Kluyveromyces lactis: one gene and its partners. The protein of the gene in region 5 purifies or fractionates together with the protein of the main gene of each other region. This does not show direct contact. Links are inferred from orthologs where the notes say so. Each region holds a gene or a part of one and is shown on either strand. Other genes may lie near its edges.

What was found.
Region 1: the proteins of MRPL19 (region 5) and MRPL35 purify together in Saccharomyces cerevisiae (affinity purification with mass spectrometry; 3 studies listed by BioGRID). This does not show direct contact. The link is inferred for Kluyveromyces lactis from reciprocal best matches to the Saccharomyces cerevisiae genes MRPL19 and MRPL35.
Region 2: the proteins of MRPL19 (region 5) and MHR1 purify together in Saccharomyces cerevisiae (affinity purification with mass spectrometry; 3 studies listed by BioGRID). This does not show direct contact. The link is inferred for Kluyveromyces lactis from reciprocal best matches to the Saccharomyces cerevisiae genes MRPL19 and MHR1.
Region 3: the proteins of MRPL19 (region 5) and MRPL3 purify together in Saccharomyces cerevisiae (affinity purification with mass spectrometry; 3 studies listed by BioGRID). This does not show direct contact. The link is inferred for Kluyveromyces lactis from reciprocal best matches to the Saccharomyces cerevisiae genes MRPL19 and MRPL3.
Region 4: the proteins of MRPL19 (region 5) and MRP7 purify together in Saccharomyces cerevisiae (affinity purification with mass spectrometry; 3 studies listed by BioGRID). This does not show direct contact. The link is inferred for Kluyveromyces lactis from reciprocal best matches to the Saccharomyces cerevisiae genes MRPL19 and MRP7.

Annotation. Positions count from the first base shown.
Region 1 is NC_006040.1:1,118,117-1,124,652, forward strand, and holds MRPL35 (mitochondrial 54S ribosomal protein mL38), read left to right. Parts: upstream 1-2,828; coding exon 2,829-3,920; downstream 3,921-6,536. Other genes in the region: KLLA0_D13068g (M1 family metallopeptidase), read right to left, coding at 1-1,746; KLLA0_D13079g (uncharacterized protein), read right to left, coding at 2,038-2,304; TIM11 (F1F0 ATP synthase subunit e), read right to left, coding at 4,553-4,843; type 2C protein phosphatase PTC7, read left to right, coding at 5,678-6,536. UniProt on the Saccharomyces cerevisiae protein: Component of the mitochondrial ribosome (mitoribosome), a dedicated translation machinery responsible for the synthesis of mitochondrial genome-encoded proteins, including at least some of the essential transmembrane subunits of the mitochondrial respiratory chain.
Region 2 is NC_006039.1:892,269-898,284, reverse strand, and holds MHR1 (mitochondrial 54S ribosomal protein mL67), read left to right. Parts: upstream 1-3,689; coding exon 3,690-4,349; downstream 4,350-6,016. Other genes in the region: HDA2 (Hda2p), read right to left, coding at 1-929; GTPase-activating protein NEL1, read right to left, coding at 1,275-3,263; SUR2 (sphingosine hydroxylase), read left to right, coding at 5,226-6,016. UniProt on the Saccharomyces cerevisiae protein: Component of the mitochondrial ribosome (mitoribosome), a dedicated translation machinery responsible for the synthesis of mitochondrial genome-encoded proteins, including at least some of the essential transmembrane subunits of the mitochondrial respiratory chain.
Region 3 is NC_006041.1:684,380-690,562, reverse strand, and holds MRPL3 (mitochondrial 54S ribosomal protein mL44), read left to right. Parts: upstream 1-2,173; coding exon 2,174-3,121; downstream 3,122-6,183. Other genes in the region: KLLA0_E07679g (uncharacterized protein), read left to right, coding at 48-362; MSS1 (Mss1p), read right to left, coding at 324-1,829; KLLA0_E07613g (uncharacterized protein), read left to right, coding at 3,345-3,953; PEX12 (ubiquitin-protein ligase peroxin 12), read right to left, coding at 4,004-4,999; fructose-bisphosphate aldolase FBA1, read right to left, coding at 5,380-6,183. UniProt on the Saccharomyces cerevisiae protein: Component of the mitochondrial ribosome (mitoribosome), a dedicated translation machinery responsible for the synthesis of mitochondrial genome-encoded proteins, including at least some of the essential transmembrane subunits of the mitochondrial respiratory chain.
Region 4 is NC_006042.1:1,138,356-1,144,888, reverse strand, and holds MRP7 (mitochondrial 54S ribosomal protein bL27m), read left to right. Parts: upstream 1-3,283; coding exon 3,284-4,378; downstream 4,379-6,533. Other genes in the region: GCN1 (Gcn1p), read left to right, coding at 1-1,295; SGF29 (Sgf29p), read right to left, coding at 1,914-2,654; ILV6 (acetolactate synthase regulatory subunit), read right to left, coding at 4,648-5,532; isocitrate dehydrogenase (NADP(+)) IDP3, read right to left, coding at 6,034-6,533. UniProt on the Saccharomyces cerevisiae protein: Component of the mitochondrial ribosome (mitoribosome), a dedicated translation machinery responsible for the synthesis of mitochondrial genome-encoded proteins, including at least some of the essential transmembrane subunits of the mitochondrial respiratory chain.
Region 5 is NC_006040.1:714,177-719,762, forward strand, and holds MRPL19 (mitochondrial 54S ribosomal protein uL11m), read left to right. Parts: upstream 1-3,093; coding exon 3,094-3,543; downstream 3,544-5,586. Other genes in the region: serine/threonine protein kinase NPR1, read left to right, coding at 297-2,621; ubiquitin-specific protease UBP10, read right to left, coding at 3,870-5,586.

The DNA of each region.
Region 1 (6,536 bases), about 400 kb from region 5:
TAGGCCCATCTTGCCTCTTGATGAAAGTTTATCCAAATTTTGTAATTGTTGTTGAAACAAATGATCAGAATCGTACTTGACTCGGTAAAAGCCAAATGAATTGGCATTGAAATGGTTGAATTGTGTCTTTGGTAACTCTGTGGTCTTTCCTGAAAAGTCCACCTTGTAATCACCCTGGAGTGGCATCAAAGGCACCCACCACTTTGTAACATCTTCATCAGGTTTGCAAGTACCAGTGGATAAGAACCTGTTTTGGGTCAAACTCAAACCAATTTCAGACTCTGTCACAGTGACCAATGGGTATCCAATAGTCAAAATCCAGTTCTTACAACGTTCCAGTACTTCTATATCAGCGACTTCACCAATACAGTTGAACAAATCTTCCATTGTTGCGTTTGAGAACTTGTTTCTCTTCAAGTATAAAGCAACACCTTTCAAAAAGAGTTCTTGTCCTAAATAACCGCTTACCATTTCGAGAATAGAACAACCCTTCAAATACGAGATGGAATCGAATACCTGATCTATATCTTTAGCGTTACGAACCGCTACTTTTATAGGATGTGATTCTTTCAAGGAGTCCAATTCAAGAGCTACTTCATGCGATTGCAACATGATCATGGATGGGACATCCCAATCTGGGAAGAATTTTTCAACAGCCAAGTATCCGATCCAGGTAGCAAAACCTTCATTTAACCATAATTCATCCCACCACTTCATCGTTACAAGATTTCCAAACCATTGATGGGCAATTTCATGCGATACAACATATGCGATCTTTTGTAAAGCAGCAGCATCAGGTTCATCTAAGTTACCGTCGTACAACAACGCAGACGGTCTAAAGGTGATCAACGAAAAGTTTTCCATGGCATTATGAGAATAAGTCTCGACACATAGCAAATCTAATTTTGGCAATGGGTATGGAATTTCAAAAGATTCAGAGAAGAAATCAATGACTCTCTTGGCTACATCAAGTGCAAATTTCCCCTGTTGAGCTTTTCCCTTGGCTGTGTACACTTTCACCGGTAGCTTACCACAACCAGAAGAAGTGCCATCCTGTGTATTGTAGTTCTCAATGGTAGGATATATACTCTTTTCGGTCTCAGATTCAATGTAGTCGTATTCTCCCACGGCCCATGCCACTAGATAAGTAGACATTAATGGTGTAGTATGGAATCTATAAGAAATTTGGTCTGATTCTGTCAATTTCTTCGTGCACTTCAGAGGCATATTAGCTAACACAGTGTATTTCTCATGCGCGATAATGCATATGTCAAAGGTTGCCTTCAAAGAGGGTTCATCGAAACATGGGAATGCTCTGCGAGCATCCGTTGCCTCGAACTGAGTGGAAAACATTACCTTATTTTCACCGGTAACAAAATCAGTATAATCTGAACGGTAGAATCCAGACATATTAGTCTGAATCATACCCTTATAATCGATCTTCAACACGAATTCATCATCAGATATACTCTCCGGAAATTTCAAGGAAACAACATCGTTCTCTAAATCGAAACTATGGTCCTTCATTCCCAAAGACACAGACCCCTCTTTCAGTTCAACCACCGCAGAAACGATCTCAATGTCCCTCATATTCAATGAAATCATGTCATTGGCATTAACAGTGGACATAATAATACGCACGGATCCGATAAATGAATTGTGCTCAGCATCTAACTCACTCAATTCAATCTCATAATGGTTGGCCCTAAAGTCGGTTGGTAGAGTTTGAATCTTAACGTCAGCCATCTTTCAGTGAATCAGGTATAAACTATTCCAATACCTAATTGGTTCTCTGGATATATCACCCCAGTTGTCTTATATAGTGAAAAATCCAATATGAAATCAAAGAGTAGGTGTCATTCAAAGCTTTATCAAAGGTCTTAAGTGTTATCAATCTGTTTTCGTCAATGTGTCAAAATTTTTTTCTACCTTCCCTGCTGAAAAGCTCAGAAGTGAGCGTAGAAATTTTGATATAAGACGGAGTAGTATGAAAAGAGAAGCTCCTCCATTATCCAGCAGCACAACTGCTCATACGTTTCACCTCTTGTGTAGTTTTGGCAGTAGTTTCTTTGACCTATTAAACATTTTGCGCAGTATTGAAGAAGACCGTCTCTTTAGCTGATCTCCGACATCAGAGTCAATTGAGTCGCTTATATCAGAATCGGAGCTGAACATAGAGGGAAAAGCTCTCTCTGTTGGAGTTTGTGTATCAAACTGCGAGTAAACTTGAAGTTTAGATATTAGTATGGTAACTGCCTCGACATCGTGCCTTAACTCTGTAGAATTCGGTTCTGAACCGTTCATATTTGATTTAATAAGCTTTTGAATATTATACAGGATAATACAGGGAATGAGAAGTAAACCTACAATGCTGATTGGCAAAGGGTCTTTATACCAGGAAAAAGTTGAGGCATCTTGTCTTTACAGATCTGAAACAATGTCGCGATGAGCATTCTCATATAAGATTCGTCGTTTCAAACATAAATGATCATTATAATCCGCATATAGGAAAGGGAAGAAGAAAATATACAAAGAAAGATGGATATGATGGGTTCGCTGGATCAGAAGAGCGTCATTTGCAACATATGAAACCGAATGGCAGTCTCAAAGGCAAAGCTTACCAGTTATTGATCTCTGAACTTCCACTTGGAGCGAGAGGCACGATCTTCTGTTACCCGGACTGAAACACATTAAAATTTTTTGGTGAAAAATCGATTTCGAACGATTCAGATGAGTTTTAAGTATGAACGGACAATGAAGATACATGAATAATCAGTTGTAGGATCCCATTGGAGGGTGTTTCAGAGACTAACAACTCGAATTGGAGAATGTTGCGTAGAGGGTTGCACAGCAGTGCCAAATGTTTAGAGAAAACCGGGGTATGGTCGGACTTTTCTAAGAGATCCAAGTCGCTTGGTTTAGCATCAGAATCGATTAAGAAATACATCTTTCAAGGCGACAGCGATGACGTTAGAAGACGAGGTCCACCGTCTTTGAAGCGGAGGATGAACCGTTTGAAGTATACCTCTCCTGAACATATTGATGAGATGTTCCGCTTGAGTTATGAGTTTATGAGTAAGCGCGCTGAAGAGAAGTATTCGCAACTAGAAAATGAGACTGATGCCAAGGTACGTGCTAAGTTAGAAACAGAGGCTGAATTGCATAACCCAGAGGTCCAATACAATTTTCAGTATCATGACAAGTTAGAGAACGATACTAGAGTGATAGATTATGCTGTTCCAGTGTACAGGCGTTTGGGGCTGAAGCATTGGGAATCCTACGAAAAAATGTTGTTAATGCAAAGACTAGAGACTTTGAGTGTAATCCCCGATACGTTACCTACTTTACAACCAAGAGTACAGGTTAATTTACGTTTCCCATTCAGTACTGGTGTGAACAAATGGGTTGAACCTGGTGAAATTTTGTCCTCCAACACGACTTCGATGGTTCCAACAATTAAGATTCAAGAGTACGAGAACGGTATCGACTTCGAAAAGCAAAAATACACTGTGGTAATTGTGAATCCAGATGAACCGGATGTGTTGAATGATACATTCAAGACGACTTTGGCGTTCGGTTTGACTAATTTAAAGATAGACTATAACGACAACGTGGTAGATCCAAGAAAATACAATGAATCGCAGATTCTTGCAGATTACATTCCTCCAGTACCTGAGAAAAATGTTGGCAAGCAAAGGTTCTCTGTATGGGTATTCAGACAGAATGGTGATTTGGAATCCCCTGAACCAGTCGATAGAGAAAACTTCGATATTAGAGAATTTGTTCGTTCCCACAACTTGGACCCGGTTGGTGCTCATGTTTGGAGATCAGAATGGGATTCTAACGTGGCAAACATTAGAGAGAAATACGGATTACCAGAAGGGAGAGTGTTCCATAGAGTTCGTAGATCTGTTGTATGAAAAAAAAAATGAAAGTTTCCAGAAAGAGTTTATTTCCTCCTCGTCTCTCTCGCGATATATATGATTACACACTTTTCAACAACCTCAGGTGGTCTGAATAATATCTCATACCTCATGTAAATAATATGCAATGTAGAAAATCAATGCAACATACGCAAATCATAAAAAAAACTAAAAAGCTTGTTCGAATCTATTAAGAATATGATCATTAGTTAACATTTATTCCCGGTAACATAATAAATTATATAGTAATAATACGGTGTATGGTGCGTGCGTTCATGTGCGTCTGTTTTTTTGGACTGCCTCTGATTGAATATTTTCCTAGAGGCTATATATAGAATCTTCTTTTTTTTTGGCTGTTTCTTCTTCATATGTTATTGTATTGGCTGTAAATCTAATCGTAACAAAAAAAAGGATTCGTGAGGTCTTTCGTTCTTAGTCGAGGAAAGCAGATATAACTCTTGTTGTCATCATTTCTTGTTGACTACCAGAATTCAAACAGAGAATACAACCTTTTATTTTTCTATTATGCTTCAGCTCGGAGTTATGCATACAAGTTCCTTTCCCTTGTTACACAAAAGAGAAAAAAGAAGAATTAAACACACCTCTCCTTATTTCATAAGTCCTGTTGCTTATTGCTTCAAGGATTCAACAGCGCTCAAGATGACCGAAGCATAATCCAAGTTAGGGTCCTCCAAATCAATCTTGGCAGAAGAACCAGCAGTAGCAGCCTTAATTTCCTTCTTTGGTGGGTGCAACTTGGCGTATTCTGCCTTGGCTTGTTCCACTAATTTCAATTGAGCGTGCAATTGGTTTTGTTCTTCTTGCTTTTGAGCTTCTGACTTCAAAGACAAGTCAGTCTTGAAACCGGCAACAACACCTAGAGCTAAAGCAGAGTATCTCAAAACGTTTAAAGTAGACATAACTGTGTTTAGTTTTTTTTTTCCTTTAGCTTCAAGACTTCCAAAGAAATGTTTAAAATCCAAGAATAAGCACAAGTTAACTAGCAATGATTAATGTCATCATTTAGACCTTGTTCCTCTCTACGGAATGAGCGATCTGAGTTTGATAATTTTTTTTCAGTTGCAATAAGCTTGTAAATCACTGTCAACGATGTAATTTTATTGGCTATCGTGGAAAATGACATCAACAACCCTTTAAAGTTTAACCAGATCCAAGCATCTCATCCTTTAAATGGAATGGCGGAGAGAGGGAGATTAAACACTGTTTTATGGGGTAATTCCTGGATGTTGAGGTGTAAATGTAGAGCAGTAACTACAAGAGTTAATATGTTATTGTCTGTCGACTTAATTTACATATACTAGAGGGAGCAAGGTTGGATCACGTGACACATTCTTTCCATAACTGGGTTCCCAACAAGAGCTTAGGGCTGCATATGGAAATGGCCGGAAATATATGTCCGTGTTAATCACTCACTCAGGTTGCCGCTGGTCATCTTATGCGTGCAAACGGTAAATCACGTGATATACACTTGGAAAGTAGCAAGTGCGGACTCCTCACTCACTCAACGCAAGACTAGAGGGAGCTAGTTGCAGTTAATCCAATGGACTGTAGATAGTCCTTCTTCTTTCCGGATAATATATCTCATCTTATCTCAATTAAGGTTCTCACGAATTTTTCAATATCAACTTAAAATCTTGGAGTTTAGACCGATTTGACTGAGGAAACGCTTCAAACACAGCTCGAGCATCTCGCCAACGCAGTCACCAGAAACAGTTTTCTCACCGTGAATCGCCATGTTTATCGGAATCCGCCAACATGTTCCTCGTACAGTTTTCAGAAGTATGGTACCTGTTCTATTCGCTTTCACATTATACGTTTTACTAACAGTGTTCGATCTAGACTATAAAACATTGAGCCAACGGAGTTTCAGTTCCTCGGCAGGTTCCAACAATTCAAATTCATGGTCTTCCTCCTCATCTTCTTCATATTCTGCTTCATCTGATGCCTTCAATTACCAAGTAGCAATCGCATATCAACCTAAAGACCGTAATGAACCGATCTATGCAAAACTAAAAGAAAGCCTGCAGTCGCCTACCGGAGAGGACAGTTATTTCGTAGCACCAAGATCTAGTTCTGAGCTTTACGCAGGTGTTGCTGATGGAATTGGTGGCTGGGCAAATCATGGGTATGATTCAACAGCTATTTCCCGTGAGTTATGTCTAGCAATGAAGAGCATAACTTTAAATTCCAGCAAAGATATCGCCCCAAAAGAGTTGTTACAAATGGCATTCTCCTCGTTACTTAACGAAGAAAAGGTAGAGGTTGGTGGTACCACTGCTATAGTGGCTCATCTAAAGGATGATGGTACTTTAAACGTGTCAAACTTAGGGGATTCTTGGTGTGGTGTTTTCAGAGATTGCAAATTAACCTTCGAAACAAAGTTTCAGACCGTTGGATTTAATGCTCCATACCAGCTAGCAATCATTCCCAAGCATATAATAGAGGCTGCTGAAAAGAAAAATGGCTCATTTATTATGAATAAACCGACTGATGCAGATGATTACAGTTTCAAATTACAAAAAAATGACATCGTTGTTCTTGCAACTGACGGTGTCACCGATAATATAGCTGTCGAAGACATGGAATTGTTCC
Region 2 (6,016 bases), on a different chromosome or scaffold from region 5:
AAATGAACAATGGAATCCAAAATTAGCTTTTCGGAAGTAGTAGTTGGCTTCTTTTTGGATAACAAATAGTGATCCGGAGAATCTTGGACCAATAGCTTAAACAGAGGAGTTTTTCTGCCATTTTTCCTGACTTTGAATATCGATGGTAACGATTCGTCCAGCATTGGATCAAAACTGATGATAAGATCCAGATTGTACCTAGAAAGTAAATCTTCAGAGTGTGTCAAATGTGTGGTTGTTGCCAAAAACAACCAGTCAAGTTGAGATATGTTATTCTTACGTCTTGACTTAGAGTAGTTGTATTCATCTTTCGATTTTCCGATTTGCTCAGGAGCTACGCTACCAGAACTTGATGAATTTTCACCATTGGTTGTTCTTGAACCAGAAGTTTGATCGTCATATTCATGTTTTTCGTCAAACAAAGAAGTTCCAGATAACCTCTTCAACTTTGCAACTTTTCCCAACATGACGCCTTCAATCAAATCCAATTCTTTCACAGAATGTGAAATGATAGCAACTTGCAATGGCCTCGATTTGTCCTTACGATTCAATAAAAGATCAACCATTAGATTTAACTTGCCAAATTTATCGCTGGTGTATATCAACCTTTCAGTTGGTTCCATTAACAAAAACTGTCTAGGCATATAATGCTCAACTAACAGGCAAGGGTGATTCGAGACAGCTCTTATATTTTCGAAGAACCATTCAGTTAACTGAACATCTGTTAATGCAGTCATACTCAAGTCTCTTTTGAGATTTGTCCCTTTTTTTTCTAATTTAGATTGTAGTTCTGGCAGTAGACGTTTATCTACACATGAGACAAACGACTCTGCATGTATCGAGATTAAAATTTCCAACAAATCTTTCTGAACTTGAGTTAGGCCAACAGGTATATAAAATACCTGAGTCCGGTTGGAAGTGGAGTTCATCTTTCTTTCCCTAATGAAACGACCCAATGGCTCGCGCTTGCAGTTTCTCTTTCTTTTCCTCTGGACTCTGGCTTTTAATGTGCTATTCGGAAAGAATGGTTAGATTTAATTATATAGTATCTTTTAAAAAATGAAATATGTCATTTTTGAAAAGCGACAGATGGAGAAACCAAGGAATACGTACATAGTATCTTTTCCTGCCATACAATTGTTATTCAAAGGGGGAGCGATAGATTCGAAGGTTGCGACAGTAAATGGGGAACTATTCTAACCTTTTGGTTTTGGTTATATATATATAGAGTTCATGATATCTGTTGAGAGGTAAAATGAATGATTACATACTTTTCATGCAGTACTTTTTGATTTAAACAGTGCCATGTATTTATCAAGCGTGAGGTCATCAGAATGCAAAGAATGTTCTGCAGTTAAGCCTAGTCGTGCAATTACAAATCTATCCTGACTAGCACCTGGCTTGGTTTCTCGATACCAAGGCTTTGGAAATCGACTTCCATCGTGGTATATGGTATCAGCAGCTGCCTTCAAACTGTCAACTCTGCTATCTCCTACTGAAGTATCTCGTACCACAAGGACGTTACCACCATCTACCAATAAAGGTTCGGCATAATTAAGGATGTCAGTTGTATTTTGAATAAGCCCTGTGGTCGAATACACTTGGGGTCTAACCATCTTGAATATATGACTTAAAGGGGAATTCAGAATTGTCCAATGGTAGACGATCCACTCGTCAGGCGATGTATTTCTCTTCCTTAAGAGAGTTGATCTTTGCATAAAGTACGTTACTTCTTGTAAGGATTTAATGCCAGGAACATCGATGGCATTCAATGATTTAAGAAGTTTTACTATTTCTAACGTCCACCACCTTAGATCGTAATCATAAAACTTGCCTTGAAACAAGACAGCGAAAGATATTTTTTTCATTATGGATCCAGCCATTATATCCCAGTGGAAATTTTGGGTTAAAAGATGTTCACCTGGTAAGGTTGTACTGGGAATAAATTTCGTTTCTACAGAAACGTATTCTTGATTCAAGTGTTTATAGTAGCATTCCATTTGAAAGGAAAATTTATCTGGCATTTCTTGCAAGGCTTCAGCAGCGCTGCGAGATGTATCAACAGATAAACTTATCAAAATTGATGGTAGATTACTACTTGGCCCTTTGTAACGGAAGGTTCCAGACCCTCCAAAGCCCTTTGGAGTGTCAGATACATGTGTGTCCTTGTCTTTCAAGGATGAGACTGGACCAAAGATCCCATTCAGTAATAGCTTGTTAGAAGTTTTGATAACAATTCTGGTTATTTCATAACATCCTTTCCCTTGAATATACGCCTGCCAATCATATATGAAATTTCTATCATTGAAGGATTCGTATTGAATAAAGTTGTTCAAACAGGATCTCATCTCCCATATTCCGACCTGATCCATGGATGCGACGAATACCGTGCATGGAGCAAACTTTAAGGACTTACTCATTTTATTGTAAAATTCTCTAGAAGGTTTCCAATATTTCACATCCTTGTCTTCCTCTATATTTCTATGCTGCCTGATATGATTTTTTCGGTCCATTGAGATAACCTTACCTGGTGCTACTGTACAGGGTCCGAAAACAAATGCAATGGATTGTGATGGGTTTAGACATTGTGCTAGAAAAATAGCGAGTGCAGTGTTTCTTCTACATCTTTTTTTTGACCTAGTCCGTTGACATAGAAGTTCCGCGAGTTTAGCACCGAAAGATATTTGGTCCGTCCAAATCTTCCTCACTAAAAGCCCATACTTTGCAATGAACCATTCTGTGTCAAGCTTCTTAAGATGGCTGATACAACTACTAGATTCTGCATCTACGGTAATGTGTGACCCGTCAGTATGAATAGTGACAGACCCATCTTCAATCGTGATCAGGGCCAATGACTGGACAGAACCAAATTGTAACATCTTCAACGCGTCTAGATTTTCCTCAAATTCACAATTAAGATCGATGATTATGGCGAACTTGGAATGCGTAGGCACAGCAGCAGTTCCTAAATGTTTTAGGTATGACGATGATAATGGAATATTCCCTAGTTCATTATAAGCATTACAAAAAGAACAAAACCACCCAGCTCGTGAATCTCTTGAACATAAAAAATTCGCAAACCCTCCACAGATTTTACAATTGGTATAATTCTCACTGCTTGCTAGGCTTGAATTCCCGTCAATTGTCAAGTCCGGCTCACAAATGGCACTTATCGATCCACGGTTATCATCTCCACAATCGAGAACTCTAGCTAAGCAATCTGTCCGGGACGTAGGAACGGCTCCATAATTCAATTCAAACATCAAGTTCTAGATGGTGGAATATGCGGACACTTGACGGATGAAGGTGATAACTCTACTGTGCGTGTCTGCTGATAGGAAAACCTTTCTCTGGAGATGAGATCCAAGATAAGATAGAGCAGGTAGCGGAGAATTCAATATCATCACAAGATCCGGGTAATGTATATATTAGGTTCATTCTCTTTAATTTTCAGTGTTTCTACGAAGTTGTTTATGGCATCTGAAAAAGCTGAAAAATTTTGAAAAAGAGAAAGCTGATAGTTAGTTTAGCTTGATTACAGAAGAGATCACCACATTTGTGCACACATTGTATTTAAATAACTCTTCAGAAGTCCATCAATAGCACTGGAGATAGAAGAGAACTCTGAGGATCAAGGCTTTTGTTGTTAACAAATAAGGCTTGAAGACACCATAGGGCACTAGGAAGAGATGAGCAAGCATTTAGCTATTACCAAGTTCCGTCCAGCCAACTGGCTACAGAAAGCAGGGTATGCACCACAAGTCTTTTTATTCAGAAACCTAGAGAGTGGACAAGTGCTGTACTCTCAATTCCCGACTTTTTCTTGGAAGCAAATTGATACCAATTTCCAAAGACCCAACTGGGAGAATAAGAAACCAAGCACCAGACGTGATATTTGGAAATGTATGGCTGTTGTTGATCTACCAGACTACGACAAGAGTGTAAAAGTATACCAGAATTTGTGCAGATTAAGATATCTCCGTGATGTGACATTCAGTAAACAGGCAAAAGACATGAGAAAGAAGAATGAGTCCGGCCACACATGGTACTCATCGCAATACAGACCAACATACTCTCAAGAAGCGGTTGCCGATTTGCGAGAATGTCTCCTAAAGTTGAAAGACGTCCAATCGTCCATTAAGGTCCATTGGGAAGACGAATGGAGAATGGGGGATAAAGAGAAATACTGGAACCCAGTATTGCCAGAGTTGAATCACACAACACTAGAACGTTTGGGGAACGTTTCCAGAGAGGAAAGTGCAATTTTGAAAGAACTAGGCGAAAGAGCCAAAGAAGAGTTCGCAAGAGTGAGACAACAGGAGTCAGCTGCTCAAAACATCTCTCTATGAGTTACAAAAGAAAACAAGCAAATACAAACTATTTCCAGTTGCAAAAGCTGAGCCGAGCTCAGATCTTTCACTGCTTCACTCGTCACGTCTTTAAGAAATCACTACATGTACATATATAACCCGCAGACAATCCGACTCTGTAAATAATATAAACAAACCCTCAGCTCACTACCGGCGTTTAACTGATTTGACAAGGTGATTACTAGCAGTTTTCTCCCTTGTTTCCATCATCACGTAACCTAAATATCAAAGGTTCTGTAATCATCATATTACTTCCTCTACTTTTCTACCGCTTCATACCATATGTGTCTCATGCATGCATTAACGCCTAACGGAAGAAGAAGCAGGAACCCGGACACCAAAGAAAAAGCAAAAAAAATGTCACATGACCAAATTTGAGAAACCTTAACACCGTTTCTCTGGTTTTCTCTGGTGTTTCTTTAACGACAATCCTGTTTTCCCTTAGAGGCTTCGGGTTTTTCTTAGTTTTTCTAGCATAACATGGTGTCGAGAATACAGAATTGCGTTATAAATGTATTGCGTTATAAGATCAGTGGTTGTATTTATACGAAGCGTATAGGCTAATGTTGGCATACCAAGCGAAGAAGGCTGCAATAATATTGAAAGGGTAAGGCTTGAGATTAGGTAAAAAGTTATTCTGGAGTTACTGTTTCTTTTTTTTTGATCATACTGAAGAGAGACAGCAACTATATAAAATACGAAGCAAGATACGAAATCAGATACACAAACTGATATTTGCAGTGTCATACAAAACTTATAAGTCCATTTATACTTGAGAGGAGCTGTTTTCTGTCGGATACAGTTCGAGGATAAGGAGATACAATATTTTGCGTGTGCTGTATCGGTTTTATAACTATGGCAAATATTGTTGAAAGTGCAGTGCAGCACTTGTATTTGCAGGTGAAAGATGCTATGGATGTGTCGTTTATGAATTCTAAAGCTCCACCTGCTTCTGTGATAACGAAGAAACAGGATATTTTGCCTTGGATTTCTGATGGGAAACTTGCCTTAGCACTACCTGTTGTTGCTTATTGGCTTTATTCGATGTTTTTCCATTACATTGATACCAATGAGGTTTTCGAACAGTACAGGATTCATCCAAGCGAGGAAGTACAACAGCGGAATAAGGCCTCAAGATTAGAGGTTTTAAAAGAGGTGATATTACAACATTTCATTCAAACATTTACTGGACTTGGTATGCTCTACTTGGATCCTGTGCCGACTTCAGGGTTTGAGAAGTATGAGATGTGGAAATGGAGGCAATCTTTACCCTTTTTCGTACCATCTGTTTTCATCAAGTTTATGTATTGCTATGGATGGTCTATGATAAGGATATTTATTGGGTTTTGTATCGTAGATTCGTGGCAGTATTGGCTGCATAGGGTGATGCATATGAATAAGACACTTTACAAAAAATTCCACTCACGTCATCATAGGTTATATGTTCCTTATGCGTACGGTGCATTGTACAATTCCCCAGTGGAAGGTTTCCTCCTTGACACTTTGGGTACAGGCATTGCTGCAATCGTGACACAATTAAATCATACAGAACAAGTTGTTCTATACACTTTTGCTACTTTGAAAACAGTGGACGATCATTGCGGATATGCTTTGCCCCTGGACCCATTCCAGTGGTTGTTTTCAAA
Region 3 (6,183 bases), on a different chromosome or scaffold from region 5:
CTTTACACAGGTGTCATAGACCACTTGTCTGAACGTAAAGCTTTAAAATGAGGGGAAAGGCTTTGAAATCCAAACTCGAAGAATTGGTGGATGGGATTCAGCAAAGAATTGATTTCGTAACTGCAACTGGAGTGTCGAGTTTTGAGCAAGAGACTGAACAAAATTATGGTAAACTAGAATATTTACAGAGTAAAATCAAGAAAGATGACGGCATTAGTGATTGGGTCGATGAGAAACAACGGCTTTCTGGCAGATTGAATAAACTAGAAAAGCAAGTGCAAGAATTGGAAGAATTGGCAGATGAATGGGAAAACTATTTACAATTACTTGCCGATACAAAACTTCGAAAAGACAACGTCTAAAACCTCTTCCAAGTCAACGTTATCACCAGTTATCTTCCCAATTCCATCGGAAGCTATTCTAAGTGATTCGCAAGCTATTAATATATCGTCATTCTTGTGCTGGAAGAACTGATCTAGGCCGAATAGAATATCAGTGCTTAAAATTTCTTTGACTCTATTGGACACGGTGACTGGATCTTCATTCTCAGTTGCCGAGATTCTTCTGAAACTTAATGTCAAGGTCTTAACTAATGGTTCCAATCCAATTTTGGTTAAGCAAGAGACTGTATGAATTTTCAGGGCTTTAAATTCTGCATCGAACTTTTCAATTAAGTATTTTAACTGGGTTTCAGTAGCTAAATCCGATTTATTCAACACGACAATTAAAGGTTTATCAGATAAGTTATCCTTGATAAATTCTTCAAAATGTTTACTTATATTTGGGTTAGATACATCAATGACCAATACCACTAAGTCACTTTGTAAACTTTTCTTTTTGGATCTGTCAATACCTTTGATCTCAATAGAATCTGAAGTTCCCTGTCTGATCCCTGCCGTGTCAGTCAAGATACATTTAAAACCGTTAATGTCCATCATTACATCGATAGAGTCTCTTGTGGTGCCCGGTATATCACTGACAATCGCAACGTCGTCTTGAGATATTTCGTTAACTAATGATGACTTCCCGGAATTTGGTTCACCCAACAATGTTAACTTTATCCCATCGTTCAAGACAGCCATTCTATCTAATTTCACCATGAATCGAGTCACTTTTTTGTATAGTTGTAAAAGTTTATCATTGGCACCATTCACTATAGAATCGATATCTTCCGTTTCGATATCTTCACCAAAATCAATAATTGCAGTTAGTTTAGCGATCTGCTCTATAATCTCTTGTCGCCATTCATGGAAAATGTCTACGGTCTGATTGCCATGCAATGCAGACAATCGCTGTAATTCTGTATCTGAATGAATCATATTGTTGATACTTTCAAGCTTCAACAAATCCATTTTCCCATTCTGGAAAGCTCGTCGACTGAATTCTCCCGGCATCGCCATACGAATATCTCTTTCAGAGTCCCGCAAACCCTGGATTGAGTTTAACGCTGCCTTTATAATAGCTTTCCCCCCATGTAGATGCAATTCCACTAAATCTTCACCTGTAAAGGTCCGTGGTTGTGGGAAGTACAAGACTAACGCTTCATCTATCAGAGTTGATGCCTTGGGATCATATAATGACCGAATCATCGGTTTCCTCTGCCGTAGCGGTTTTTTTGGCGACAATTTTTTTAAGATATACTTTGAATGTGTACCCGATATCCTAATTATAGCTATTGCAGAGTGCTGATTTGATGGCGTTGATAATGCATACACTGTAGGATGGAAAAATGTCGCTGGAACACTATAAAACCGTCGCAACATTGGGCTGAACATCACTTTTTGCGAAAAATTGAACCAAATGAGAGTGGGATCCTTGTAGACTACCATTACGATTCCAACTGCAATTTATGGTAGTTTAGAATAGTCTGTAAATATGTTTAGCTACCGATTCATCGACAATCCATAGCATAAGTGCGCCGTATCAGAAAGAATCTGGAATAATGAGATGTCTGTGAAAACATATTATTATCACGTGACTACTCGGAAAACATCAACAGTCTACTATATCCGGGTAATTGCAGATCTCAGTATCGAAATATTGAAAAAAAATTTTAGTGAAAGAGTTACAGAGAGAGGATGGAAAGAAGTTGAGTGATGCAGTGAGCTATTGGTGAGGTTTGCCATTGATATATACAGCAATCAACATCACCATCGAGGGGGGTTAAAGAAGGATGTCTGTTTTGAAGCTATTGAACCCTGTGCGAGTGCGAGGATTTGCTTCTTGTGCCAGGTTGTACCAATCAGAACTGTCATCATTGAAAGAATATAAGAATACCATCAGTACACTGTTAAAGAACCCTGCACATGAACTAACAAGCCCCAATTTAGTTGCACTCCATTCCAGATTAAGATTGCCTCAAGGCTTATCCTATTCTCTTTTGTCCAGATGTTTGACGTGTCGTTCTAGTGGGGAAGTGAACTATGACAATGTCAGTTTGAACATTTTTGGTAAGAGTCTTTTAACTTTGGCAGTTACATCCGAGCTAATGAAAAAATATCCTAGGCTACCGGGTGTGGTTTTGAATGCTGCTGTGGATGCATATATTAACGACCATGTTTTGAGCAATGTCGGTCGTTCCTGGGGTATAGAACCGGAAACTCAAAGTGTAGTGGATAGATATGCAAAGAAAGAAAATGTTACCATTACATTGGGTAAACTACGTTATTTCCAAAATTCCGTAGATGAATTGCATAACTTCACTGAGAACAATGCTATGGCAGTTGCCGTAAGGAGTATATTCGCCGCTGTATACAGTGTCGACAAAGATTTCAACCAGACACATAAGTTTATCGCAGATCATATTTTGTCCAGAAAGCTGGACGTTAAAGATTTGTTCGCGTTCGAACAACCAACCAGAGAACTGGCAGCTTTGTGCCGTCGCCAAGGATTGGAAAGACCGGTATCGAAACTACTTGCAGAAAACGGTAGATTGTCTAAATCACCCTTGTTCATCGTTGGCGTTTTCAGTGGTGAAGAGAAATTAGGCGAGGGTTACGGTTCATCTTTGAAAGAAGCTAAAGCCAGAGCCGCTACAGACGCTTTGTTGAAATGGTACTGTTACGAACCAGTGCATGGCCAACAGAATGTCGTTATTGACCAAGGCGAAGTGTTAGTATAGACAGGCCGCATCAGCAATGTATGTTTTCCACATAATCCTTTTCAGTTGAGATCAACTTTTAAAGATTTCTTTCCCTGTAAATATAATATACAAATACATAATAGTAATTCATACACTGTTGTACTCGAACGAAATAAAAAAGGAGGTTGTACGAAACTTAGTTGTGTCTTGAGGCCTTGCCTTATTTATAGCTAGATCCTGTTCTGCATTATTTGATCAAGATATGGATTTGAAGGAGGAAGTTCTGCTGCAAGTTAATTCGACGATCATTGAAAGTAAAGGAGGTCCGTTACTATTTATCCTTGTATTGGAAAATGAAATAGCATCACAGTGTTTTCTGTGTGATGGAGTTGGAAACGTTGATACGAAGCTCAGCCTTTTCAGCTGGAAATCCTCTGATCCAATTGGAATCCTAATGGTTGACCCGGACATTTACGATTACGATGACATGTTACAGTCGTTGAATTCGAAACAATACATTATTAAATCCAAGTTCCATTACTTCCCTGAAACTAGCAATTTGATACAATGGCATGAGAGTGTACGATATCCTTATAAGCTAATCAACTGTGGAGTAGAAATTCAGGATGATCATTCCGATTTAAAACTATTAAAACGTGATTTAAAAGATCATTTGGATAGGATGATTCAATATCTTGAAGATAATGATAGACCAAGCGATGAAATCTTGAAAGAAATTTGGTTATTAAAGCTAAGATACAGTAGAACATCGGCTCCAGACTTAGATTCAGAAATCTCTAGGCTGGAATCTGATATAATGATGATGCAAACGATGTTCAATCAAATGGAAACCAATGCAGAATTATTCTAATGCTACTGGCTCAATTATTCTCATTATTCATTTACTAAATTAATGCAAAACTATATTAATAACTTACGGATGCGTTTATCTATGGGCACACCAGTCGCGAAACATGTATTTTCTGTGCTTACCCATTTCTTGGCACACTCTAAATTAGCGACATATCCAGATGAAATCATGGCAGGTTCTGTTATTTCTTCGCCGCATAGGGGACATACGTCAGTCGTATCATTGTTATCCACCTCTGATGCTACGCCAGGTAGTACTGGAGGTTTTGGTCTCTTTACTCGTATCTCTTTCTTGAATAATTCAGGCCGCTGATTGATAATTTGTAAAATTCTGATCATCACTAGGAAGCTCGGGAATAACTTGTCCAAGAACATGGTCGATGTGCTCTCCACTGCATCCTTGGTCATAGCTAATATTCTGGGTAAATTAGTTCTTTTACGACGACGTTCAGAAAGAGTTAAAGTATTTTTCCTACTTGCAATTCCTTCTTCGGGTTCTTGGTATCGTTGGTATCTTATTTGTGTTATGAAATGGATCATATCAGTGTCTTTTGAATGACGCAAGTACTTTAATTTGAAACAGAAATTTATCACTTTGATAGTCTTCTGTAGCTTAGGATAATAGGCATCAAACCATTGTTGCCATGAGCTCAATTCTGGGCTCGTCAATTTTCTGGACTGCAAGAGCTCATGGTATTGTTCACAGATATCACTAACGTATTCGAATAAACAGTCATTCAACCAAATTCCTAGAAAGGTTAATTTAGGGAATCTAGAAAACCTTTTCAATCCATAGAACTTGTCAAGAATTGTGGCACCTGTTGTTTTATAATGTCTGTATTCAACCAAAGATTTAATCACCAAGATTATGAAGTCAAATTTATTAAAAATCTTCAACAGCCATCGTGTTGGTCCTCTATATTGGAGATAAATGGAGAAAATATACCTTAAAGTTGGTTTGATTAACTTCTTCACTTCATTGACAGAGAGTATTTCGAATAAAGTCGGTTGTTGTAAATTCACCGGGAGATTGGAGTAAAAATCCATCGCTTTGAGTCCTCCCTGTTTCTTGTATTTGTTTCTGGAGTTGTAATTGTGTTAAGGGACTATGAACGTGACTTTGTTTGATTGTAACTGTTCCTATGTTTTTTAACTCTGCTTTCATATTTAAGCCAAACTGGACTATGAGACAAAGTCGATCACGTGAGAGAAAAAGACAAATGCAGTTCGATAACAGGTAAGTCCTCGGTAGCGTCCAAGGATAACACTGGTGAACGTATCCGATGCACAGCGGATCCCTGCCAATCATTTTGTAACTAATGGTTCAGATGTCTTCATTTGATCATTTCATGCGTTCTGGTATTTAAATTGTATATAGAAAATTATAAGTTAAATTGTTTGGGATAATGGTACTAAACAAAAGAACTTTATTCCAAAGCACCCTTAGTACGGAAGATTTCCAAAGCTTGAGTGATTCTCTTGCTCATGGTCTTTTCACCTTCTCTAACCCAGACTCTTGGGTCGTAGTACTTCTTGTTTGGAGAGTCTTCACCGGTTGGGTTACCGACTGGGGTCATCAAGTAGTCCTTCTTGTTCAAGACGTAGTCTCTGATACCGGACAAGTAAGCGAATTGACAGTCAGTATCCAAGTTGACCTTTACGACACCGAAATCGATGGCAGTATGGAAGTCCTTGGTGGAGGAACCGGAACCACCGTGGAAGACCAAGTACAATGGCTTGTCTTCTGCCTTCTTGTTTAATTGCTTAGCAGCGTAGTCTTGGAAAGTACCCAACAATTCTGGTTTTAGGGCAGCGGCGATCTTGTAAACACCGTGGACGTTACCGAAGGCACTGGCAATGGAGAAGTTTGGAGAGATCTTGGACAAAGCTTCGTGGACAGAGAAAACAGTTTCTGGAGTGGTGTAAAGTTTGTCGTTAGAAGTACCTTCGTTGTTGACACCATCTTCTTCACCACCGGTGATACCGATTTCCATTTCCAACCATTGGTGGATCTTGGCCATTCTGGTGAAGTATTTGACACATAGACCAATGTTTTCCTCATCAGTTTCTTCGGACAAATCCAACATGTGGGAGGAGAACAATGGTTCACCGTGCTTAGCGAAGTATTCTTCGTCAGCCTTTAGCATACCATCGAACCATGGTAGCAACTTCTTAGCACAATGATCGGTGTGTAGAACAACTGGGATACCGTAAGCTGGAGCAATGGATCT
Region 4 (6,533 bases), on a different chromosome or scaffold from region 5:
AGACTCCTGCAGCAGGCTTGAAATCCTATGTTACAGTTATCACTGGTCCTTTGATTCGTGTTGTTGGAGAAAGATTCAATAGTGACATCAAGGCAGCTATCCTTTATGCTTTGAATATCCTATTTGCGAAAATTCCTCAGTTGTTGAGACCTTTCATTCCTCAGTTGCAAAGAACGTTTGTCAAATCTTTGTCCGATCCAACTAATGAGGTATTACGTCTTCGTGCTGCCAAGGCATTAGGAACCTTAATTGAATACCAGCCTAGAGTTGATCCATTGGTTGTCGAACTGGTAACAGGTGCTAAGCAAAGTGATGATGATGGTGTTAAGACTGCTATGTTGAAGGCTTTATTGGAAGCCGTATCAAAGGCAGGTTCCAAATTGAACCAAACCTCAAAAACCAATATCTTAAATTTGATCGAAGAAGAAATGTTATCTGCAAATGATAAGCTCGCAGTGGCCTACGCGAAATTAATCGGATCCTTATCAAGTATCTTATCAACCGAGGAAGCTGCAACAATATTGAAAAGCAAGGTGTTAGAAAGCTCCTTGACTGAAGATTCTGGTAAATTCGGTATTTTGACCCTAAACTCATTCTTGAAAGATGCTCCATCACATGTTTTTGGCACTGGACTAATTGATGAATGTGTTAACTACATAATTGATGCAACAAACTCATCAAATGCTTACTTCAGTGATAATGGATTACTCGCAATTGGTAAGACTCTATTATTAGAAGGCGAAACAAGAACACCTTATTCCAAACTTGATGCTAGTGAACCTTTCCATCTTGGCACAGACAATATCAACAGCCTAGTTTCTCAACTTGCTAAGTGTATGTTGAAACCTAACAGTAATTCTCTAGACAGTAGAAGATTGGCTTTGGTCGTGGTAAGAACGCTTGCAAGATTTAAGTACGCTGAAACTATCGAAAACAACTACGATTTACTCGCTCCATCTGTTTTCTCGTGCTTGCGTGACACAGTGATCCCAATTAAGTTGGCTGCAGAAAAGGCATACTTAGCCATGTTCCATCTTGTTGAAGAAGAAAACTTGGAAACCTTCACTTCCTGGTTCTCGAAACTCGAAGGATCCACCATACAAAACAGTATTGGTGACACTTTGCAACTAAGATCCTTAGGAGATTACACCAAGAGAGTTGGTAAGAGACTAGCTGCTGTTGAAAGAGACAAGATTGCAGCCGGTGGAGATGCCGAGGCGATGTTCTCTGATAGATTTGAAGATGAAAATGAAATCTGGACCGTTGGTGGTGTTGAGCTAAACACTGATATTTAGAACAACAGCACAAACCCAACCTCTGTAATGACAAACATAATATTATACAGATTTATATATCTCACTGACTTGTAAGAGACACTTACAAAATTATTACTGCAAAGCAATCACGATTTACTAGATGTACTTTGAAATGGTGACTTAAACTTGTTCATGTGGAACCTGAAGTCTCTCTGAATCAATATAATCAATCAACCTCCATACCCATTGTTCTACTATCGAATACTTCTGCCACCAAAAGATACATACATCTTTGTTCGCTGGGCAGGTGGTTAATATCCGGAATAATAAAGGCAAAATTGGAGCCTTCATCAGTTTTAGAACCAGATTCACTAACAATAGCACAAAACACAGTTTTGTTATTGATTTAAGTGTCACTTTGTTAAAAAGGTACACCATGAATCATATACAAAATATTCGACAATAAGAAACTAGAACTATGGTATTTAATGTCTGTCGCGTCTGATGCGATAAATCACAAACAGGCACCGCTACTAGTTCCTACATTATCTCAATGTGATACGGTTTATTTAATGTTCTTTCATAATTTTTTTTTCTTTATTGTTACAGGCTATGGAAAATTACATACATTTCGTGAACGTGATATAATTAAGAAACTCATCGTCTAGAGGGGAAAGGAAGAACTAATCTTCTTTCCACCTCAGTCTCCTTGTCTATTTCCTCTTCACCGTCGAATCGTAGCTTACATGTCCCATCTCTTTTGCTTCCGCAAACAATAGCTGGATAGAAAGTCGTTGTTTCTGGATATCTTGCCAAAACTTTTGTATTCGCTGGATAATTCGGAGTCTGGGTTCTTTTCATAGTCACGGGCGGGATCAAGAGGATCTCTTTCGAGTTACATTTGAATATACCACCTGGTTTCCCAAATTCATCGGGTTCTGGATCTTTCACTTCAAACCGGAGTCCGTCCCCAGAAACTTTTGTGCATATGCACTGGATCCATTCGCCAGTCTTTTTAGATTTATATGCAACTTCGGAACCAACCTCAATTGGTTCACTTGGGTTGAATTGACTGGTCCAATGTGATCTACCAACAACACTCGATTCAGGGATATGCGTCGAACTGGATTCCTCCTTTAATATAGGTTCCTCTTCCACTGGATAATTATCTAATATGTATGAAATGTTCTCTACCAAATCTCTGCAGTAATTTCTCATCTTTTCATTTACAGACTGACGAGCCTCTAATTTCTCATGGATATCAGCCAATTGATTCAAATTCATATTCTGGAAATTCATATTCTTCGGATCTAAAGACTCAAACCCCGCAATATCTCCTATTTTATATAGATCTTGTAATTGAGTCACGGCAAGACCCCATCTATCTTCCGTTGCCATTTTCGCTAGAATCACTGATATATTTTGTTTTATTTTTTTTTTATCTATGGGCTGTCGGTTCTTAGTATTCCTATTTCAATTAGATAATATGGGCTTCACCAGCACGATAATTAATTTGGGAAACTTCTATAAATGGACGTCCTGTTTATTCAAACGTAAATCTGAAAGGTGAAGACTTCTTTTCGATGCAAGCAGTGTCGGTTTCTTGATGTTTTGTACTTAGAGAAATATGAGTTTTTCGTGCTGGAAGAGAACATCAAAACGTATATAGTGATGGTAGATCTTTAATTGGAACCTCAGTTTCGAATAACTTTGACGTGAATTAGACGTTTACTCCTTCTCAAGCATGAAAAATTCACTATGGTATCGAAAGAACTCTCAGCAATAGATGAAATTGGTAAAATGTATAAATCAATACTTTCAACTCTTAAACAGTCAGTTACACGAACCTTCGAAGGGCTATATCTTGTTGGATTTCGTTGTTACCCTACCTTACAATCCGCCATACTGTGGAAAATTTTTGTCACTAAAATCCTATCTTAAATACATTAAGTACAGATACACGCAGAAATACAGTTACTGTGACATTGCTTGATACTGTTCGGACCAGGCCTACGAAACAACGCATAATGTTCTCATCTTCGTGGCAACAAGTTCCCAAGTTTGTGGTGCAGCAGGTGCGTACTGCAACCAAGCGTGCAGCAGGTTCTCGTACCAGTATGAAGGACTCTGCTGGTCGTAGATTGGGTCCAAAAAAATACGAGGGTCAAGCCACTCAAGTTGGTGAGATCATCATGAGACAACGTGGTACCAAGTTTTATCCTGGTGAAAATGTAGGCATCGGTAAAGATCATACGCTTTTCGCTTTGGAGCCGGGTTATGTGAGATACTATTTGGATCCATTTCATCCAGGTAAGAAATTCATTGGTGTATCATTATACAAGGATGTAAAGCTTCCTTTGCCGCATTTCGAACCACGTTTGAGAAGATTCGGCAAGGCCATCATTGAGGATGAAGAGAAAGCCATTGCAGAAGAGAACGCTTTACCAAGAAAGATTTATTTGCTGAAGGATGAATTGATCAAGAAACAGCAAGAACGTGAGATTAAACGTGAAGAGTTGAAGGCAGAATACAGCAAGATAATTTCAGATCTGAAAGTTGAGCTGGATCAACAAGAACTTGCGTTTGCATTACCATATTTGCTCAGATGGAGAACTTGTTTGAAGAATGGGTTCAATGAATCCGATGCCCGATTTAATTCGTACTACTATTTGGAACAAGAACTTAAATTGAAGATGAGAAACCAAGAAAAATCTAAGTTGGACGACAAACTAACATTGTTGAAACAGGTCTCGACCAAATTGAATGAATCATTGTCATTTAACAACAAGCTTGAATTAACTAAATACATTTCTCCAGAAGAAAAGAATACTCTAAAGACACAACTAATTACTGATTTGAAGGCAATTGATATTAAGGACAAGAACAGTAAGAAGCAAGTACTAGCCAAGTTTACTGATGCAAAGAACTTCTTGACGTTATCTGAAGAGGTGAGACTACGCAGAAAATTCTTGAAGCCAGTGAAACCAGAAACAGAATTGAAGAAATTGGAAGAACCACTCAAACCTTCCAAGAAAAATCTAACCACCAGACGTTACAACTACGAACAAAACACGATAGATGTCATTACAAGACCAAAGACCGATTTCTTGAGCAAATTGTAAATCTTCCCCAAGTCGTTACGTAACAAACCATTTAGAGCCTTGTACATATTAACAAAAGAACCACAACAATCATCATAGTTTAAACTGAAAAAAACGAAAGTTTTTTAGAGACTATATATCATTTGGAAAGGTTAATTCCATATTATATCGTTAACGTATTTAATTTGTCTATATGTGTGAGACAAAATCCAAAACATACTCTTACATTACTATTTTTTTGATATTGGATTGTTTTGAGGTACAAAACTATGGCAGGTGAGCCCTTTGGATCAACCAGGAGGCAATTGAGAGATATCAACGATGTCATTCATCTTGCTTTGAGCATCATCTTCATCACCGACAGATAAATGGGTTCTTGGTAGAGCCATCATACCTGATCTTGCCACTTCCAAGATACCGAAAGGTTCCACAAGTTTCAAGAATGCAGAGATACGGGATGGTTTAGCACATAATTCCACAATACAACTTTGTTCAGCGATATCAACAATCTTACCACCAAAGTTACCAGTCAAGTTAGAGATGTCGTTTAAATGTTCATGCTTCAATCTCAATACTTGGGACAGTGGAAGGTTGGAAGGATGGAATTGCTGTTGTCTTATTCTTTCAACGGTATCAGTATTTTCATCTTGTTCATGGTGATGAATCAAATCCTCGAAGTATTCAGCACCCAACAAAGAGATTCTTGTCATCAACAATTCTCTTTCTATGATGGTGGAATGAGAGTAATCCAACACGACAAATACTGGTACCAAATCTTCGATTTGTCTTCTGGCTTGTTCGATGACACCGTCTTGACCTTGCAACACAATGGTCATACGGGATAAATCTTTCACTTCAGTGTTACAGACCACAAGGGAATCGATATTGAAGCCTCTTGCAGCTAGAGTACCTGAGACTAACGATAGAACACCTGGCTCGTTTTGAACCAAACAGTTCAAAACATGTTGTTTCTTTGGCTCCTTTGAGATTACTGGATTTTCATATAGGATCGATGAGATGGCACTGTTAGTAGACCAAGATGGAGTTTCGATCGTTGGTAAAGGAGGTCTTGCCTTATTTCTATGCAGTTGCTTATAAGCAAGAGCCGAAGTCGAAGAAGACTTTGCTCTGGCAAAGCTTCTCAATGCTAGAGGAACCACTCTAGTTTTTAGCATTGCTTAAAGAAGGTTTTCGACTGAGTTCGTTAACCTTTCAGTGGAACAGAGACGAAGTGTAACCAAGAAAGAATATACACAGTGGAAACAGATATAAAAACCCACTTATAACTTATATATATGGGGAAAGTAGAACAAAAGCAGATGAGAGAAGTGCTTCATAGAAGGATGGAACGGTGGATCAAAGGTTTGAATGGTGTAGCTGAGTCATATTGAGAGTGAAAAAAAAAAATTCTTTTTCCAATTCAGGTCATCGCGAACGAGCGAAACAGGGCCGAAACGGTATAAACTGGATTGATAAACTGGACACCTTTGTCCAGATGCTTACTCGTGATGTGGACCAACGGAGGTTAATTGATATTCTCTTAATTCTCCTGGCTACGGATGGGGTGTCAGTTCTATGGGGGAAGAAGATATATAAATATTGTTTTTAAGGCTATATATCTTATGGATATATAATGTAGCAGTAAATCGGATAGGGAAAGGCTAGCTTTCTTCTTCCTAGTTGAATGATGATTTAAATTCGGAGTCCAATCTCTTGTGAACAGCTTCAATGAACTCTTCGGTAGTGACGTATGAGGATCTGTCGGTCTTACCCAAGATCAATGCCAAATCTTTAGTCATAATTTCATCTTCTTGAACCGTGTTGACGGTAGCAGATTCCACCAATTCGGCGAATTTCACCACATCTGGGGTGCTATCCAACTTACCCCTTTGGATCAAGCCTCTGGTCCAAGCGAAAATCGAGGCGATCGAGTTTGTCGAGGTTTCTTTACCCTGTTGGTGTTGTCTGTAATGTCTAGTGACGGTACCATGAGCAGCTTCACTTTCGAAGGCCTTACCATCTGGAGTAATCAACACAGAAGTCATTAGACCAAGAGAACCGAACCCTTGAGCGACAATATCGGATTCCACATCACCATCGTAATTCTTCATTGCGATGATGTAGCCACCCTTCGATTTCAACATCTGAGCAACCATATCGTCGATCAAACGATGTT
Region 5 (5,586 bases):
TCTGCTACAGGGTGAGTTTTCGGTACGGAAAAGAAAGACATAGAGTTCCCCTTTAGTGCCACTGCTCAGGATAAATTCGGTATTACAAAACAAAACTGCAGAAGAACTTTCTGAAAGGGATTGATAGACCTGCTTCATATTGTGTTGTATACAAAGGAATAGAATTATAAAGTAGCTACTCGGTGTTTTTACGAGGATATCAGTTTTTTAGAATCGATAATTAGAGTTAATCAGGCTCTGATATCGATATCGACAAAGCAAAATAATTAGAACCAGACCACAACGTTATTGGAACAATGTCATCGTTAACTAAACTGTTACAAGAAAAAAGAAATCAGGAACCTTCGTCAAAGTCCGCTCTAACGAGTTCTTTGAAAGGTTCCTTGGCAGAATCAAGAAACTCCAATTCACAGTCTCATGCTGGACATCCAAACGGAACCGTGGTATCCAGCCCGATGGAAATAAGGGATGGTGCTGGTGGTAGTGATACAACCGTAACACAGGTTGATTCAAATGACGATGGATCTCTGGAAGCGTCATATGAGTTTTCTCAATCTTTTGTCAATGCTAATTCAGCTCATACTGCAACCATGTACGGCTCTTCGGTGCCAAACAGATCTCGCTCGGGCTCCATCCTTATTTCAAGCGGGAAATTCCCACAAGATACCAACGGAAGAGGTGTACCAGGAAGACTTGGTACAAGTATTGGGAGACACACCACTTCGACAAGTGTCATTTCGAACAATTTACCATCGCTTTCATCTAGTATACCATACTCGGCACCAAATTCCAATACAACAAACGACTCAACTGTTAATAGTGCCGAATCCTCTGCATCTTCCTCGTGGCTGGATAAGCATGGGTCGTTGCCCAGTAATATAGCTGCCATCGACTCAAACGTGATCTCTTCGCCAAAAGTTGAATCTGTGGAGCCCAGATTTGTCATTTCAAAACAGAAACTACAACAGAAATCAAATATGAATCATGACACCGGTAAGCCAGTGTCAAGATCGAGTTCGTTATCCTCACAGCTAGGAAGTTTTTTCTTTTCGAAAAACAAGGATAATGAACCGAGTTTAGTAGCCTCTTCGTATGGCGCTGGCGTCTCTCAGACCAATAACTACTACAACAACTCCAACTCCAATAGTAACACGAATTCCAACAATAACAACAACAGCAGTGCAATCCCTTCCTCCTCGACGAGCCATGGTTCATCCATTCCAAAACCCATTAGGGCTAGAGCATCGTCCATTTACAATTCATCAAGACAACCTACTGCCTCATATAATGAGCATGTTTTGGGGTCTCCGCAATCATTGCATGAAAACCTCTCTCAGAATCAATATACTCCAAAATCTCGTCACAGCTCCGTTGCTGATTTGAAGAGATTCTTTAAAAAACACGGTAACTCCTCCGCTTCATACAGTGAGTCTCCACCAATCAGTGCTAACTTTTCAAATGCAAGCGGTGCAAGTGCAGGATTTGCGCCTGGATCATTGGGATCCAATGACGTTGTGTACGCTGCTTCGCATGTACCTGCATTACCATTCAGTAAACGTTACCTTAAAACTGGGGAAAATTTGGGTGCCGGTGCCGGTGGTTCCGTTAGATTAATGAAAAGGATCAGTGATAACCAAGTCTTTGCTGTAAAAGAATTCAGACCAAAGTTTGAACACGAAAGTAAGCGTGATTATGTGAAGAAAATTACTTCTGAATACTGTATTGGTACAACTTTACGTCATCCAAACATCATATCCACTATTGAAATTGTTTACGAAAACAACAGGATCTTCCAAGTCATGGAGTATTGTGATTATGACCTTTTCGCCATCGTCATGAGTAATAAGATGTCGTATGAAGAAATCTGTTGTTGTTTCAAGCAAATCTTGACCGGTGTAGAATATTTACACAGTATTGGTCTGGCGCATCGTGATATGAAGTTGGACAACTGTGTAATAAACAACCAGGGTATAGTGAAGTTGATTGACTTCGGTGCTGCAGAAGTCTTCTCCTACCCCCACTCAAAAACTTTAATCGAGTCAAGTGGCATTGTTGGAAGTGATCCATATTTGGCTCCCGAAGTTTGTATATTTACCAAGTATGACCCAAGACCTGTTGATATATGGTCCGTTGCCATTTTGTTTGCATGTATGGTATTAAAGAAATTCCCATGGAAGATACCTAAGTTAAAGGATAATTCCTTCAAATTCTTCTGTTCGGGAAGAGACTGCGATTCCTTGAGTGCTTTAGTCACAAAAACACCTAAACCGCCAAGTTATGACAATGCCGTCCAATCTGATGAGCCAGCTGAGAGCACATCTAAATCGAACAACCCATCTGATCCAAACAACACGAATATTGGTCCTCAAAGACTACTTCATTCCTTACCGGAAGAGACCCACCACATTATCGGTAGGATGGTAGACTTGGCTCCTGCTTGTAGAGCCAATATTGAAGAAGTATTAAATGACCCTTGGATTCAATCCATTGACATGTGCACCGTTGAAGTAGACAACCAAGGTAACTACGTCGTGCACCCTGGAATGGACCACAAACATACCCAAGTTGATCAAAGCGAAGCCCACATTGCTGGTCTTGAAAAGAAAAAAAAGGCAAAATAAATTAAGAGAGAGAGTAAAACTAGCAATCCGGCTGAGGTATGTTCTACAGCATGTTTTATCAAATAAGAGTAACTCTTCTGAGACGACATAGACTTCTAATTGTTGTGCAATCGTTATAAATTATCTCTCCTGTAAAAGTACACAAATGTATAAAATATTTAAGAACAATTCTTGGCATTCTCATAAAATTAATGCTTTATAACGTTAGCAACCTTTGGCATGAAGTCGGTACACATCGCAGCATATGGTTCTATTTAGCAGACAATGAATTGTGCTTATTAGAAAGTGTATAATGGAAAACAATGTGCGGGTAATAACTTCAAAATTTTCTTTGGCCTAAAAAATTCTTGGAGATATGCCAGATTATAAGCTGGTAAAAATCGATGGCTTAAAGTAAGATGTGCATTCAATCCGATCAATTGCCTCGAACAAAATATCGAAACAGTAAGTCCAGGAAGCGCCAAACAGGACCATGTCGAAGGTTCTTAAGAACGTGATAGTCAAACTTATTGTCGGAGCAGGTCAAGCTGCGCCTTCTCCTCCAGTTGGTCCAGCTTTAGGGTCTAAAGGTATTAAAGCTATTGATTTCTGTAAAGAGTTCAATGCCAGAACAGCAAACTTCCAACCGGGTACTCCGATTCCAGTACTCATCAATATCAAACCAGATAGAACATTTTCGTTTGAAATGAAAAGCCCTCCTACTGGATATCTTTTATTGAAGGCATTAAGTCTTGAGAAGGGACACGGACAACCAAATATCAGTAACCCTGATAATGTATGTGGTGAACTGTCGTTAAAACATATATATGAGATCGCCAAGATCAAGAAGACCGATGGAAGACACGCTGCTCTGGAACTTGAAGGAATCGTAAAGTCTATTATCGGTGTTGCTAAGAGTATGGGTATTAAGGTAGTTCCATAAACTGACTTTTTTTTCACTAATCAAAGCATCGATTTGTGAAATAGTGAAGGTCTCGATGGAGAGTTTCATTCCAACTGGTTTATTAGCATTTGTAGACCTCATTTCGTGTACATAAAATAGAATAATGAAAAGATAAAATTATAATAATATATCAACTACTATAGATGAAGATGTATATGATGATCCAAATGAACTGAAACCGAAGTGAAAAAAGATGAACTGAAGTCAGTGTGAGGTAGATGCATGTATGACTGTTTACAAAGAAAGAATGAACAAGGATGCAAGTGTATTGTAAGCCGGTAGTTTAAGGAAAGGGTTATTCAAACTTATGGGGAAATCCTTCTCTTCTTGTTTTTTTTCTTATTCTTACGTTTAGAGTTGTTCTGCGATGATGAGTGTGAAGATGGAGGTCTTTGCAATTGCGGAATACCTAGATCAGTAGATTTATTGGAAGATTGAGAGGAAAGTGGGACCGATTTTGGTGTAAGTCTAGTGTACACTAAGAAGTACGCGTTTGGCTCTTTCAAAAGCTGTTTTTCTGAAATTTTATTGATGTATTCGTCGTCATATGTGGCCCAACTTCCATCTGGTTGCTTACAATGTGCGATATAATGACCGCTAGATAAAGATCGCCCTTCATGCACAACGACACTAATTAGTTGGTATCTTACGGGTAAGGAGCTGATTGATTCATGGCAGTATTCCGTTAGATCTAAAAACATTGGATAAGATACGGCCTGCTTCATTTTGGATGAAGATGTGCCATTAAATCTGAACTTTTTTAAATGAACCACTAGAGTCTCTGGAGCACGAATAATCTTGTTTGACTTTAGCGCGTTAGTAACTTTCTTACATTTCTCACATGTATACCCTTCTTTGTTGTCCACTCTTTTGATTAACTCAGGATTGAAGAAATCCCGAATAGATTTTTCAATTGAAAACCTTCTCTTTGAAGATTGCTGTTGATCAACAGAGTTATCAATTGAATTATCTTGACCAACAGAGTTTTGATCTTGATCAGTTGTCTTTCTACCCTTTAAATGCAATGAAAGATCGTATATAGGTTGTTCAGTGGTTGAAATCTCACCACAGTTACTGCATTTAACTGATTGTTGTAGTAATCCACCGAATACATCGTAAATGATGGATTCTGTCATTTTATGGCCCTTAGGAACCGAGTCCTCTTGTAAACGTGACATTAAAGACATAAAATATTCGTGAGAGTCCTCTTGGTTCCAAGCGCTCATCATACAGTTAATGTCTTCCAACGCATTGATTAATTTATCAGGATTAATGTACGTATTTTTAGTTGAGTCAGAAGACCACATTCTCATCGTAGTTTCCGCTAATAACATGGAAACACAGTTAGACTTAACGGTGTCCTTGAAATTTCCACGTAGTAATTGAAATAAATAGTGTTGAATTGCTGGAATATGAACCATGGCTTGCACAGCAGCGTTTGTGTAACATGTGACACCATGGTTGAGTAAACCCCTTGGTTTCAGCTGGGTCAACTTAGAGCCCCAATTCTTAACTATCCTCTGTGGTTTATTAGAACCATGGTCATTAATCGACTCGTTAAATTGGTAGAAGCTTGACTTGTCCTGAAGAGTGGTAGGAGGGGTAGGTGATAGAGGTTGTGGAGATTTGTGCTTCAATTCTTCATCCTCTTCCTCTTCTTCGCCATTTTCCTCTTCTTCAGGTTTGCTCTCAGAAGCAGCCGCAGTTGAAGATGAAGACACTCCTTTGAACTGACAAGAAGAAGCAGCAGCATGTTCAGTAGCCTCCAATTTGAGTTCTTCCTTTTCCTCTGCAGAAACATCCTCGTCATTCTCGTCATCCTCGTCTTCTGCTGATGCAGAAGAAGCGTGGAATGAACTGTCATCACTATCTTCATCTTCATCGACATTTCCAGGCTGCTCAGCAGGAGCAGCTAATGCCAGCGATGGTTGAACGAATTCATTAGCCTCATGAAACACTTCATCCTCATCCTCATCCTCATCGTCGTCATCAGACGACGAGACAGGAGCAGAAGTTGCAGCA